Linked DNA regions of Macaca mulatta. The protein of the gene in region 4 interacts with the protein of the main gene of each other region in a pairwise test. Links are inferred from orthologs where the notes say so. Each region holds a gene or a part of one and is shown on either strand. Other genes may lie near its edges.

Evidence for each region.
Region 1: the proteins of USP25 (region 4) and RAD23B interact in binary tests that used the Homo sapiens proteins (3 or more experiments, as listed by UniProt). The link is inferred for Macaca mulatta from reciprocal best matches to the Homo sapiens genes USP25 and RAD23B.
Region 2: the proteins of USP25 (region 4) and TNKS2 interact in a two-hybrid assay, tested with the Homo sapiens proteins (2 studies listed by BioGRID and IntAct). The link is inferred for Macaca mulatta from reciprocal best matches to the Homo sapiens genes USP25 and TNKS2.
Region 3: the proteins of USP25 (region 4) and RAD23A interact in binary tests that used the Homo sapiens proteins (3 or more experiments, as listed by UniProt). The link is inferred for Macaca mulatta from reciprocal best matches to the Homo sapiens genes USP25 and RAD23A.

What each region holds. Positions count from the first base shown.
Region 1 is NC_133420.1:51,071,076-51,074,575, reverse strand, and holds part of RAD23B (UV excision repair protein RAD23 homolog B), read left to right. Parts: coding exon 1-121; intron 122-2,900; coding exon 2,901-3,036; intron 3,037-3,500. UniProt on the Homo sapiens protein: Multiubiquitin chain receptor involved in modulation of proteasomal degradation. Binds to polyubiquitin chains.
Region 2 is NC_133414.1:103,814,807-103,818,306, forward strand, and holds part of TNKS2 (poly [ADP-ribose] polymerase tankyrase-2), read left to right. Parts: intron 1-517; exon of another isoform or gene 518-1,892; intron 1,893-2,715; exon of another isoform or gene 2,716-3,254; intron 3,255-3,392; coding exon 3,393-3,500. UniProt on the Homo sapiens protein: Poly-ADP-ribosyltransferase involved in various processes such as Wnt signaling pathway, telomere length and vesicle trafficking.
Region 3 is NC_133424.1:13,515,844-13,518,194, reverse strand, and holds part of RAD23A (UV excision repair protein RAD23 homolog A), read right to left. Parts: intron 2,165-2,351; coding exon 2,086-2,164; intron 1,971-2,085; coding exon 1,837-1,970; intron 1,747-1,836; coding exon of another isoform or gene 1,684-1,746; exon of another isoform or gene 1,667-1,683; coding exon 1,562-1,666; exon of another isoform or gene 569-1,561; intron 1-568. UniProt on the Homo sapiens protein: Multiubiquitin chain receptor involved in modulation of proteasomal degradation. Binds to 'Lys-48'-linked polyubiquitin chains in a length-dependent manner and with a lower affinity to 'Lys-63'-linked polyubiquitin chains.
Region 4 is NC_133408.1:31,981,323-31,985,480, reverse strand, and holds the start of USP25 (ubiquitin carboxyl-terminal hydrolase 25), read left to right. Parts: upstream 1-1,358; 5' UTR 1,359-1,794; coding exon 1,795-1,839; exon of another isoform or gene 1,840-2,089; intron 2,090-4,158. UniProt on the Homo sapiens protein: Deubiquitinating enzyme that hydrolyzes ubiquitin moieties conjugated to substrates and thus, functions in various biological processes including inflammation and immune response.

The DNA of each region.
Region 1 (3,500 bases), on a different chromosome or scaffold from region 4:
TCAGTCTTACGAGAATATGGTAACTGAGATCATGTCAATGGGCTATGAACGAGAGCAAGTAATTGCAGCCCTGAGAGCCAGTTTCAACAACCCTGACAGAGCAGTGGAGTATCTTTTAATGGTGAGAAACATGTTTTACTTTACTTCATTCTAGTTGTTTAAGATCAAAATCTCAAAGAAACAGATTTTAAAGGACCACTTCACCTGTATGATATATGCTAGATGATACACAGTGCTTTTTTTTCTAGTATGTTTGTATTTTGTGTTAATAAAATGTAACCTTTTTTAATATAGTGGTCCAGCATTGTAGTAGCTTTTTAGGTACCACTGTGCATGAATTATTAAGAACAAACATTTTAAGCTTGAGAATTCGGGCCAAATTCTTTTGCTTATACTATGTATATATCTGTAATAAGTTGCGAGCTTTTTAAAATCTGGGAAATTTCACATATAAGTACAGATTTCTGGTTTATCTGGACAACTTTGGATCCCAGATTTTTGCAAGGGATTAAGGAAAATATTTTAGATCATAGAATCTAATTCATTATCCTCTGATTCACTCTGTTACCAATGTAACATCACGCATTTAACGAATGATGTTACTTACCTGGTTCCGTTAGCATTTGAATTTGTTTTTATAGTCAGTAGGAGTTGAGGGACTTTTTGAATAAGGTTTTCTTTTTTTACCGGTAATGGGAGTTTTTGAGAAATAGATTGTTGTGGACATTGACTGAAACACTTGGTATTAAGATGAAAGTCTGCTAGTTTTACAGATGTGACACAGGCTAAAGTAATTGAATTAACTTTTAAGAAATCTTCTATTCTATAATTGTCTGCTGTTTTGGAGTATTATCGAAGTCTGAATTGCCCTAAATACCATCTTAGAGTTTCTCTTTTTGTATCTTAGAGTTAACTCTTTTGGCAATTAATCCACAGTTTAACCCATTCCTTTATGTCTAGGTTGTCCTTTGTGTCTAAGTTGTACTTCTGTTAAAAATTCCTTTCAGGTAGCTGGCTAGTTTCAGAAGAGTCAGTTATAAGCCTCATAACTGTACTCTGCCTCCACCATTTATTTGCCCATGCATTTGGATGTGAAGTTCACAAAACCTTTTCTTAGCATATTATTTTATCTTTTTAAATTCACTTTTTCATTGTCTTCTTGAGTAGTGTCTTTAAATGCTGGCAGTTTATCCAGTTTTTTTGGAATTCTGGAATTAATTGTTGTGAATTTGTTTGGTGAGGGGTGCATACCCTAAACAGATTGTATAAAAGTATTAGCTTTTATGGAGTGGCTTTCATTTACACTTGATTTAGAATTCTGCATAAGTTCAACGGTATCAGTTATTGTGATCTAATGGATGTGGAGTTTTGATGTATAAAAAAAAAGAATCATTGTTACCAAAGTTGCCAAATGCTAAAACTGCTGTATAGCATCAAATGCAAATAAATAGATGAGTCATGAGTTCATCAAACATTTTATAACTAAAATGTTTTTTATATGTTTGCTGTTTGTTTCATAGACTGGAGGGGAAAAGTTGCCTTTAACTGTTACTAGTTAACAGATAAGGTGAATGGGTGGAAAGAAGAAATGTTGAGCACTTATCTAATAAGAGGCTATGTAACATGTGTGAGAATAGAGGTTGATCTGTAGCAATGAAGATTAACTTTTTAGTTTTATAAAACAGAATTTGATGGACCCTCTGGATCCTAAATTTGTATGTAGTTTGTTAGCACTTAAATAACTGACCATCTAAGTTAAGGGTTTGAAATGATGAACTCATTCAAAAACATTGGTTTTAATGCCTGGAGTGACATCTAATGCATGCAGCCATTTTCCTGCTGTGTTGCCCTTCATCCTTTATATGTTGTTGCTTTTGGCTTCTAGCTTATTAGGAAATGGAAGCATTTATCATCTTATTCAATTGTAATACTTGGTTCTTTATTTTCTTCTTTTCAAAAGCTATAAGAACTTGATAAAGACTTTTTTAAATTTTTAAATGACAAGTCTTATCAACCATGTGCATCAAAATAGATGTCCCAAAATATTTTAGTGCATGCAGTTTTAAGCTCTTAATAACTTTAAAAGATAAGTACTATAAACTTACAAAAGGCATCACCTAAAAACTAAATGGTTTCAGTTTATTTTAGATCAATTTTGTGCATTTTGAAAAATTAAATTTTTGGAAATACTTGAGTAGCTCATATTTATGAGATACTTTGACACTTTCTCAAAGAAACGCTTTATTCAAAAGTGTGTCAAATTTATGAGATAGTTTCTGAGTGACACTTACTCAGTTCCATGGATCAGTAGAGGAGATCCTCCTGCCTGACCGCTGTGTACCTGGTCTGTATCCATTAGATATTTTTTCCCCAGGAATCATTTCAGAACTGTCAAGTGTGCATCAAAAACTCTTTTTTTGGATTATCTTAAGCCCGGGTTGCAAATTCAATCCTTTTTGTTACTGAGTAACAGCTGATGAAGATTTCTAAGAAGTTAAAAAGTCAACTGAAGTAATAGCTGGCACAAAAACCTTTGGTTATGTTCAGTTTTAAGAAGGTACATGTATCAGTATTTTTCAGATTTGACGCCAATTACGTGTGCCTGGTAGGCATCTTATTGGACAACACAGGGAAAATTTCCATCATCATGGAAAGTTCTGCTGGACAGTGCTGCTTTGCATTATTACAGCAATGTGGGTTTTTCTATAATGCACACAGGTCATTTCTAATCTAATTTTAATCCATGCAGCTTAATAATCCTTTACTTTTAATTGAAGCAGACGTCTGTTTGATGCTTTTGAAAATCAGACAAGATGTTAAATAGACTATAAATCTTTTACTCTGTATAATATTAAATTTTGCCTGAAGGGATATCTTAAAGCTTGGAAATTCTGTTATAGGGAATCCCTGGAGATAGAGAAAGTCAGGCTGTGGTTGACCCCCCTCAAGCAGCTAGTACTGGGGCTCCTCAGTCTTCAGCAGTGGCTGCAGCTGCAGCAACTACGACAGCAACGACAACAACAACAAGTTCTGGAGGTAAAGTGGAATCTTTTGGATGGAGAAGGAATGGCCCTGAATTTTTACTGTAAAATGATTTAATCTGAAATACTTCAGAAATGAGGTTCATTCCCAGAGCAGCTGAATGCTTCATTAAGTTCTCTCTTCACTAATGTTTGAGAAAGGCCCAAAAGAAAGTCTCCCAAGTGGATGTAAAAGGTATCCTTGCTGATATTAAACATCAGTTGCAGTTTTGTCAGAGGGCATATTCTGTTTTATTTGTTTTAAGGAAAAGATGCTTTCCAGTTTGTATTTAGTGTTACTTTCTGATGCTGTTCAGAATGGTTTGCTCACTTTGTCTCGTAACTCTCTCCATAAATTTTACAAAGTGTATGTAATTTCAAAGCCAGCAGGATTTCACTAGTTAATACAACCAAGGAAATGAGACCTTGAGAGGTTTCAAACCTTGTATCTAGAGGAGAAAGCAGAGCTTGAATTGAAGT
Region 2 (3,500 bases), on a different chromosome or scaffold from region 4:
GTGCTGGGATTATAGGCATGAGTCACCATGCCCTGCCAATTTCATTATATTTCTGTAGGGTGTTCTAAATCTTAAACAGACCCACTCACAAAGTCAATAATTTTAGATTTTCTGAGAAGGAAATATAAGTGTTGTTCTCTTCTGAGCTAGAGCTCTGAGGGAATTTATTCACTGCCGTTTTAAATGAAGAGCTTTCTACAAATTGATTTTAAAATCCATGTGATCCTTTTCTGTTGTTTTATCTGTGTAGACATCTCAGATAACTTCAGATTTTTTTTTAATTCATTTCTCACAGAAAACTGCAACTATCATGCAGTTTTATTATTTGACATGTTTTTATTTTGATCCTCATTATTCTCATTCCCTTAAGTAGGAGGCTTATAGGATATTGAAAGGAGGATTTTGTTTCTATTAGTACTGACTTGTGGAAATACAAATCACTTGAGGTAAAAGGTTGTGAACTGATTTTTTTTTTTTTCCAAGAGACATGAAAATTAAGTTGAAAGCAATTAGCTGATTTTTTTTTTTTTTTTTTTTTTTTGGTGTGTGTGGGCAGGGAGAGATACAGAATTGTAAATGCTCATTCTCTTATATATATTAAAGAACATAAAACTATATTTAGTAAACATGTTAAAGACTAAACTTTGTTTTTATAAAGATAGAGGGAGTCCAGAGGAGGGGATAGATAAAGAGGAGATGAAGTTGGGGGGCAGGAAATGGACTTAGAGAACACAATAATGCCATTGGATTCAGGAAAACCTGTGCCAAGTATCCGGCATTCTTCCCTCCCCTCTGCTTTTAAAATCACTTGATGGACATTTATCTCCATGAACCATTCTTCTTACCTACCTCTAGACAGATGGCTCTGTACGAATGACTGGAACAAGAACATCTGCGTATTACCTAATGAACACTTAACTGTTGTGCTCAGTTGTGTTTGTTTACTGATAATCCACCAGGCTGGATACTTTATTCAACACCTGCTATTAGAAAACTTGTCTCAGAGTGGGCAAAATTTAACTGACAGGTGAAGAGTAGAATGGCCTGTGATAACTACCAAACCCAAGCAGCACCTGGTAAACATGTTAAAAATAGTCATTTCTAGGGACCTGACTTGAGACCCACTGAAATACCATCTCTTAAATGGGGCCCTGAATCTGTATATCTCACCAGCTCTATTTGGGAAGCACAGAAGAGCTTTGCCAGGACAGTGATTAAACCCCTTGAGGTAAACCCACTGATAGCAGGCTCCTTTGTTTTATTGAGCTTAGGTTATCCCTGCTTTGGGCGTAGGATAGTAAAAAGGGGAAAGAGTTTTTACTAATATGGATATATTCTTTTTGTTTGTTTGTTTGAGATGGAGTTTCACTCTTGTTGCCCAGGCTAGAGTGCAGTTGCATGATCTCAGCTCACAGCAACCTCCATCTCCCGGGTTCAAGCGATTCTCTTGCTTCAGCCTCCCGAGTATCTGGCATTATAGGCGCCCGCCACCACGCCCAGATAATTTTTTGTGTTTTTAGTAGAGACAAGGTTTCACCATGTTGGCCAGGCTGCTCTTGAACTCCTGACCTCAGGTGATCCACCCGCCTCGGCCTTCCAAAGTGTTGGGATTACAGGCGTGAGCCACCGTGCCTGGACTAATATGAATATATTCTTTTGACTCTTTAAGCAGTCTGATTTATTATCTATGTTGCTTTTCTTCCCCAAACTTTCATACTTTTCATAACTACACTTCCTCATCTGAACCAAAGAACACAGAAAATTGACTGCTTTCTTAATTCTACCCAGTCCCCAGGACTGTATAACTGTATATAAACATCAGCATTCTTTTTTTTTTTCTCTCTCTTTTTTCTTTTTTGGAGATGGAGTCTGGGTTGGTCACCCAGGCTGGAGTACAGTGGCACGATCTCGGCTCACTGCAACCTCTGCCTCCCAGGTTCAAGCAATTCTCCTGCCTCACCCTCCCAAGTAGTAGAGACAGGGTTTTGCCATGTTGGCCAGGCTGGTCTTGAACTCCTGACCTCAAGTGATCTGCGCGCCTCAGCCTCCCAAAGTGCTGTGATTACAGGCATGAGCCACTGTGTTCGGCCTAACCATCAGCATTCTACTGGTTATTTCATTCCATGTAGTGTAGTATGGTTCCTGAGCCACCGGCATCAGCATCACCCAAGAACTTGGTAGAAGTGGAGATTTTTAGGCCCACATCAGTTACACTGAAAATTTGAGGGTTGGACCCAATGCACATTGAAGTTTGAGAACCACTGCTCTAAAGGAATACTTTTCAAATTTTAATATGTTTACATATTACCTAGGGATCTTGTCAAAGGGCAAATTCTGACTCAGTAGATAGAGATCTGAGATTCTGAATTCTTAATAAGCCCCTTGGTAATGCTGGTGCTACTGTAATCTCATGTAACTCTGTGTGTATTTGCCACAAAATGCAAGTTACACTTGCTGATGATTGGCACTTTACGTGTGTGCGCGTGTGTGTGTGTGTGTATATATATATATAGTAAAGATAATAATAAAATTTACCCTTGAGCTTTAGAAAAAGTAGAATATAAAGGCATACATGAGGCCGGGCACAGTGGCTCAACCTGTAATTCTAGCATTTGGAAGGCCAAGGTAGGAGGATCCCTTGAGGCCAGGAGTTCGAGACCAACCTGGCCAACATGGTGAAACCCCGTCTCTACTAAAAATATAAAAATTAGCCAGGTACAGTGGCATGTGTCTGTAGTCCCTGCTACTCGGGAGGCTGAGGCAGAAGAATTGCTTGAACCCGAGAGGCAGAGGTTGCAGTGAACTGATATTGCGCCACTGCACCCCAGCCTGGGCAAGAGAGCGAGACTCTGTCTCAATAATAATAATAATAATAACAAAAAAAGGCATAGATGAGAGGACCAGAGGGATTCCCAGTAAATGACAAGATGAAATAAGAATACTAAATAGGGCCGGGCGCAGTGGCTCACCTGTAATCCCAGCACTTTGGGAGGCCGAGGCGGGTGGATCACGAGGTCAGGAGATCGAGACCATCCTGCCTAACACGGTGAAACCCCATCTCTCCTAAAAATACAAAAAAAACTGGCCGGGCGTAGTGGCGGGCGCCTGTAGTCCCAGCTACTCGGGAGGCTGAGACAGGAGAATGGCCTGAAACAGGGAGGCGGAGCTTGCAGTGAGCTGAGATCGCGCCACTGCACTCCAGCCTGGGCGATGAGCAAGACTCCATCTCAAAAAAAAAAAAAAAAAAAAGAATACTAAATAGTTTCTGAGAATACTGTTTTAATGAGACAAGAAAGTAAGTCAGACACTTTGAAAATTCCTACTAAATGACTTGAAACAAGAAATGAGAATATGTAGAAGTAGTATCACGTATGTTGTGTTTTGTCCTTCAGAAACTGTGTACTGTTCAGAGTGTCAACTGCAGAGACATTGAAGGGCGTCAGTCTACACCACTTCATTTTGCAGCTGGGTATAACAGAGTGTCCGTGGTAGAATATCTG
Region 3 (2,351 bases), on a different chromosome or scaffold from region 4:
CACCTGTAACCTCAATAATTTGGGAGGCAAGGCAGGAGGGACTGTTTGGGCCCAGGAGTTCAAAACCAGCCTGGACAACATAGACTGTGTCTCTATTCCCACCCACCAGCCACCAAACCAAAAAAAGTGAACTCATCTGGGTGTTGGGTTTAGGTATCTGGAAGTTCGTTTGTTCATTTTTGTTTCTGTTTTTTTTTTTTTGAGACGGAGTCTCGCTCTGCTACCCAGGCTGGAGTGCAGTGGCGCGATCTCGGCTCACAGCAAGCACTGCCTACCAGGTTCACGGTGTTCTCCTGCCTCAGCCTCTCCAATAGCTGGGACTACAGGCGCCCGCCACCACACCCGGCTAATTTTTTGTATTTTTAGTAGAGACGGGGTTTTACCATGTTAGCCAGAATGGTCTCAATCTCCTGACCTCGTGATCCACCCGCCTCTGCCTCCCAAAGTGCTGGGATTACAGGCGTGAGCCACTGTGCCCGGCCTTTGTTTCTGTTCTTTTTGAGACAGTCTCACTCTGTCACCCAGGCTGGAGTGCAGTGGGGCAATCTCAGTTTACTGGAATTTCTGCCTCCTGGGTTCAAGCACGTCTCATGCCTCTGCCTCCCGAGTAGCTGGGACTACAGTGGCCTGCCACCATGCTCAGTTACTTTTTCTACTTATAGTAGAGACAGGTTTTTGCCATGTTGACCAGGCTGATCTAAAACTCCTGACCAAGTAGTCCGCCTGCCTTAGTCTCCCAAACTGCTGGGATTACAGGCACGAGCCACTGTGCCCTGCCTGGGTATCTGGAAGCTCTCATGCAACTCTACTATTGTCTACATTTGACCATTTTCGCATTAAAGCAGAAAGTGCTTTTCAGTTATCTGCCTCATGATGGAAAGTGGACTGCGGGACTGTGCGGTGGCAGAGGCCCAGGAAGAGGCTGCCAGGGAGCTGGAGTGCAGGAGGCGCTGAGTGGGAAGAGCAGACAGGACGAGGGATGGACCCCAGCAGGTCCCCAGGGCCTGGGGCTGAAGCAACCCCAGGCTAGTCCTTGCAGAGATTGGGGAGGACTGAGGAGGTCTGTTCTAAGTCTTAGAAGTCTAGTCTAGAGAGCACTTTGATGGAGAGATTAAGCCAGCCATGGAGTGTGGCATTCAGAGAGGCCTGGGCTGGCTACATAGATGTGGGGGTTCCCATACAGACTGAAGGCCCCAGGACATTATGAGGGAGGGCTGAGTGCAGATGAAGAACAGGATCGAACAGGAGGAGCCGGCAAAGGACTGAGAAGTGAGGAGAATGGGCAGACAGCAGGGTCCTGAGCCAAGACCGGTAGGCACTTCACCAAGGACCCAGAGGAACCTGCTTGCAGCTGGGGGGTCACTCCCCCACTCTTCCTGTGAACCTTCAAGGGCAAGGTGGAGCCTCACAGAGCAGAGTCATCCCAGAGCCAACTGGGGCACAGCTGTCCTGGGTGATGTCATGCCACCTTACAGACATTTACGCAGCACCATCTGTATGTGGAGCCAGAGCCAGAGCCCCAGCCCAGGACCCTGAGGCAGCAGGCAGACACATACATTACCAGTTGTATGACCCTGGGAATGACAGGCTGCTCTAAGCTTCTGGTGTCTTCTTTTGTGGGAGGTGATGTTGACAGCACCCACATCTCACAAGACGGTTGGGAAGACTGAGAAACCGTGGGGATCAACAGGTCACAGGAAGCATGGGGGCGTGGGGGAAGCATGTGCTTAGTCCTGCTTTCCAGGCCTAGAACAATTCCTACATGTTATGGACTCTGGTGCCCACAGGGAACAAAAATGGTGGCTGCCATGGCTCCCTCTGCCCTTGGGATCACACCTGCAAAAGCTGAGGGTTCTCCTGGCCCAGCTGCTGGAGCAGAGCGGGCAGCAGCGCAGGGTTCTGCTGAATCACCTGCCGCATGTTCTGGAACTGGGGCTGGTCCCGCAGGAACTCCAGGGGGTTCTCTCCTGCTGATAGTAGGAAGGGGTGCAGTCAGACACCATGCCGGGCTCCTAGGAGCACTGCGGGGTGGAGTGTGATGTGAGTCAGGTACCTGGAGGGCAGATGCAGCACGTGCACACCCACCTGCTTCCGTGGCCGGCTGCTCGGATACCTGGCTCTCCTGGACAGAACCGTGTTCCGGCTCGGGGCTCCCAGGAATTCCCTGTCAGGGGTCCTGTTTAGTTCTAATGCACAGACCTCCTGCTGCCACCCTCCTCCATGCCCTGGCTGGACACAGATGAGGCCTCGGCCCTGCCCTCCAGAGGCCCACCCACCACTCACATCCAGCCTCCTGTGGGAAGCCTTTAGTGGCTAGAATCACTACCCAAAGGCTCTTCAGGGCAGGTTTT
Region 4 (4,158 bases):
GAAGAAAAATGGGTTCTAACAAGCTCTCTTTAAGAGGTCACCCTCCTTGGGTTTCAGAGTTATAAAAAAATTGATACATGGGATTAGAGATGTGACAGTATTCCTAAATTTCTGTTTCCAACCGTTTCAGGACTTTTCAATTCCTCTGGAAAAGATGTAGGATATTAATATAATAAGATTTGCAATTTGTTAAATATCAAATGAGTCAACACATATGAAGATTCAAGGAAAAGATGACAACAGGTGGTTCAAGACATTCGAGCTGCAGATCAAAGATGGATGTAAAGTGCACATAACTGTTACAAAGCCTTAAGAGCTACTATAATCCGTGATTATTAAATAACACCACATACTATTTCAATTAGCATTTACCAAGCTTGCTTTCCTTGTCATTGGATTAAAAATTATACCAGGATTTTCAAGTGTATTCTATTTGTGACAATATGCATTGATAACTTCTTTCCCCACACTGCTGCACTCTCACCTCCGTTCCCAGATTAGCTCCTGGAACTCGAGATATTTTTGTGGCTAGAGATTGCTTTCTTAATGTTAGGTTTTCCTTGCAATTCCATATATAGTCAAGTATTCCATGCATGGTAGTTAATTGTTTGCTTAATTTGGCAACTGGGATATTAGAATTATGTATCATCTAGGCAGTGATATTTTTGTAAGGTTGTTTGCTACATATATCCTATTTCATTTATATTAAGTCTTGGGAAAATAAACTTTATTTTTCCAGAGCCTAGCAGTGACTGACACATATTCGAATGAATGAAGTAGATGGAAAATGTCTATATTCATTTACGTAATGATTAGTTAAGGAGAAACGTACTTCCCAGCATAAAGATTTCTGGCAATCCTTTGCTTATTTGACTTTTCCCTTCAGGCAAGTTCAAGGCTTGTGAAATTCCTAGAAAGGTGAGGGGAGAGAACGCGTGACACAGAAAGAGGCCGCAGTTCGGGACCCTAGGTAGTTTTGGGACGTTATGGGCATGCAGGGAAGTGTTTGCTTTGGAGGCTTTGGGCAAGCTACGGATCCGACAAGCCCTGGGCGCAGGCAGGAACACTGCCCTCCGGCCTCCAGCCGCGCTTCGCAAAGCCCAGCGCCAGCGTCGCGCAACCTGCCGCAGGGGCGGCTCCCTGGCCGGGCAGCCGGGCGCGCCCTCGCCCCACCCGGGAACGCCGGCCCGCGCCGGGAGGGGCGGGGCTCCATGGCGGCCCCGCCCCGCCCCGCCGCCCGGAGGGTCACAATGTAGGGTTAGGGCGGCCGGCGGGCGGGGCTCTGCGGGGGAGGAGCCGCTGGGCGGGGGCGGGGACGGCGCGTGGGGGAGGGGAGGGGAGGGGAGGGAGGAGGACTCACAGAGGGAGGAGGACAGCGCCATTCCGGGCGGCCGCTCCCTCCGTCCCCTCTCTCCCTTCCCTAAAGCGGCCCGCGAGCCGCGAGCCGCGAGCCGCCAGCTAAGGAGCGCGCGAACGCGTGACGCCGCCTGACTGGCCCGCGCTCTCCCGCGCCCCGGCGTCCTCCGCCCGCTCATGGCCCGGGCCGCCGCGGACGAGCGGCGCTGAGGCGGGCCGCGTGGGGACGTGGGGCGGCCGCCGTGGCCCTCGCAGTCGGCGCTTCGCCGCCTGCCCGCGGTGCCCGCGCACGCCGGCAGCCATCGCCTTCGCGCCTGGCTGGCGGGGGCGCTGTCCTCCCCGGCCGTCCGCGCCGCTCCCTGGAGCTCGGCGGAGCGCGGCAGCCAGGGCCGGCGGAGGCGCGAGGAGCCGGGCGCCGCCGCCGCCGCCGCGGGGGCCATGACCGTGGAGCAGAACGTGCTGCAGCAGAGCGCGGCGCAGAAGGTGAGGCGAGCCCGCGAGCCGGCGGGCCCCACTCCTCCTTCCGACGGGCTGTCCTCCCCCGCCGCGGCCGGGCGCCCCGGCCTCGCCGCCGCCGCCGTCCCCGGCTTCCTCCACCGTCACCCCCCGCCCCTGCCCATCGCCTCGGGGGCGTCGCGCCCAGTGCCCAGCTGCGTGTGGGAAGCAGAGTGTAGTTTGCGGGCTTCAGTCCACTTCCTTCTGCCGATTGTTTTCCCGTAGCAGACGGTGCCAGGTATTGAGAGCGACCCTCACATTCCTACAGTGCTCTGTGTGGCTTCTTAATGAAACTTTATTCTCTCCCCTTAAATAAGAAAGAAGAGCCAGTTGTCATCCTTTCTGAACCCATTTTGTCTTTCGAAGGTAGTAGTGTTACAGGCCTGCTGTTTTGCAAAAACGGTCTCCAGCAAAATCGAATTACCTGCCTTGCGGGGCAGGCGTGTTGACCAGGTGGACTCTAGAAGTAGGTGATTTGCTTGGTTTCTTTTCCTTTTAAGGTTTCCCTTTTTTCTTCAGTTCTTCTTTTCTGCTTTTTTTTTTTTTTTTTTTTTTTCCAATATGGTAACTGTCTCTAAGAGAGGAAACCTTTCTGGCCATGTTATTCCAGGAATCTTTTGTCCCCTAAGTTTGACCTTGTTCCTTCGTTCACTCTTTACTCTTGCATCAGTCACACATTCAAATGGTCACTCACTAAAGAAAACCATTTTAAAAAAACTGTGAAGCTTTGTATCTTTAAAGTGAATAGTGAGAGATCATTCTGCTATTTTAGACTTTGCTTTCAGAATCTTAAGTGCACTATCATGGCTTGCACCATATTCTGAAGAGTAGTTGGCCATAATTTAATTTTTTTTTTAAATTTTTCATTTGCGTGAAAAGCATTTTGGGCAAAAGGGGTCAACCGTGCCTTAGTCGTGTTGGAATTACGGGGACAATTAGGGTTTACTGTGATCAACCACCGGAGTTGTGTTTGGTTAATCTGGGTGAGTAATGAATGCCCCACCCTGGTGTAGTTTTGGTGTAGCGATATTCTACCTGTGCTTGACTTTGCAATAAGACCTGTTCTAAAATGGGCTGTCTACATACAGCCTGCTAAATTTTTGCCTTGAGATTATTTTTAGAATTTTATGATACTGCTTTAAAGTAGTCGAAGATACTCAAGAAGTTTGGAAAGCAAGGATAGTGCATTGTTATTTTAGGCACGTTGGGAAAGTTTTTGAGACTCGTATGTTAGTTGATATTACTGGTAAAGTTAGAAGGATATTGCACACTGCACTTTATTTACGGTGAAATAATTCAAGACTTAATAATGAGAGTTTAAAAGAGTTTACTTCCTAATCCTCCCTATTCTATTTTGAATACCTTCAAATTTAGTTTCTAAAGACTTAAGGCTTACGAAAGACCATATGGTCATGTGAATACTAAGCACTGTTTAATATGTATGGTACTATTTGTTTATAATTGTCTTCAATGTTGAATATTAAAGTCTGTTTCAAAGTGAGAAATACGAATTTTTCACATCTCCTAAGTTTGAACAATGGGAAGAACTTTGTAAGTTTGGGATTTTTTTTTTTTTTTTCATTTGATTTTGACTGAACTGCATTAAGTAACTGCAGGCTCTGTTGCATGGTTCAGAGGTTATGCATAAAATTGTAGAATCAAGAATCAAGTTAACGAAAGTGATCTTGGCTGTCAAGTCCAATTTCCTACTTTAATTAATCCCCTCCCCACACAAAGGGAGGAGTAGTTAATTCAAAATATCATTATGATGTTATTTTTAGTATGGGTGTGTTTTAGATCATTTCATTGTTATTGGGGATTTTTTTTTAGAGAAACTTTTATACTTCCATAATACTTAGATTGTTTTACGAAAGAAACACTTAAATGTGTTTGCTTTCCATATTAATACACGATTGCTTTATTACTCATATTAGAACTATTTAAAAATATTTATATGGATATAAATAAACCATCTACCTCAATAAGTTGACAGATTTAAATCCATCAAGCTGGTAACCAGGAAGCGCACTTAAAACTGGTAACTAGGAAGTGAACTTCACACTTAGAAGAAACAAAAGTGAAAGTCTGTTTTTACTCAGACACTTTATGGATTATCTAAAAGGAGAGGTGTGTAGTGTATATTGCATAGCCAACATTTTAGCCAGTTTTCTTCTCACCTTAAAAAATTGTATGTACGTATATGTTTTTAAATTTTAAGTAAATAGTTGTATTTTGGTAGTCGGAATGGTTTCTTATATTTTCAAGGGTTTTTAAACTTTTATTTTGCAGATGGATGTAAGTTTTTTT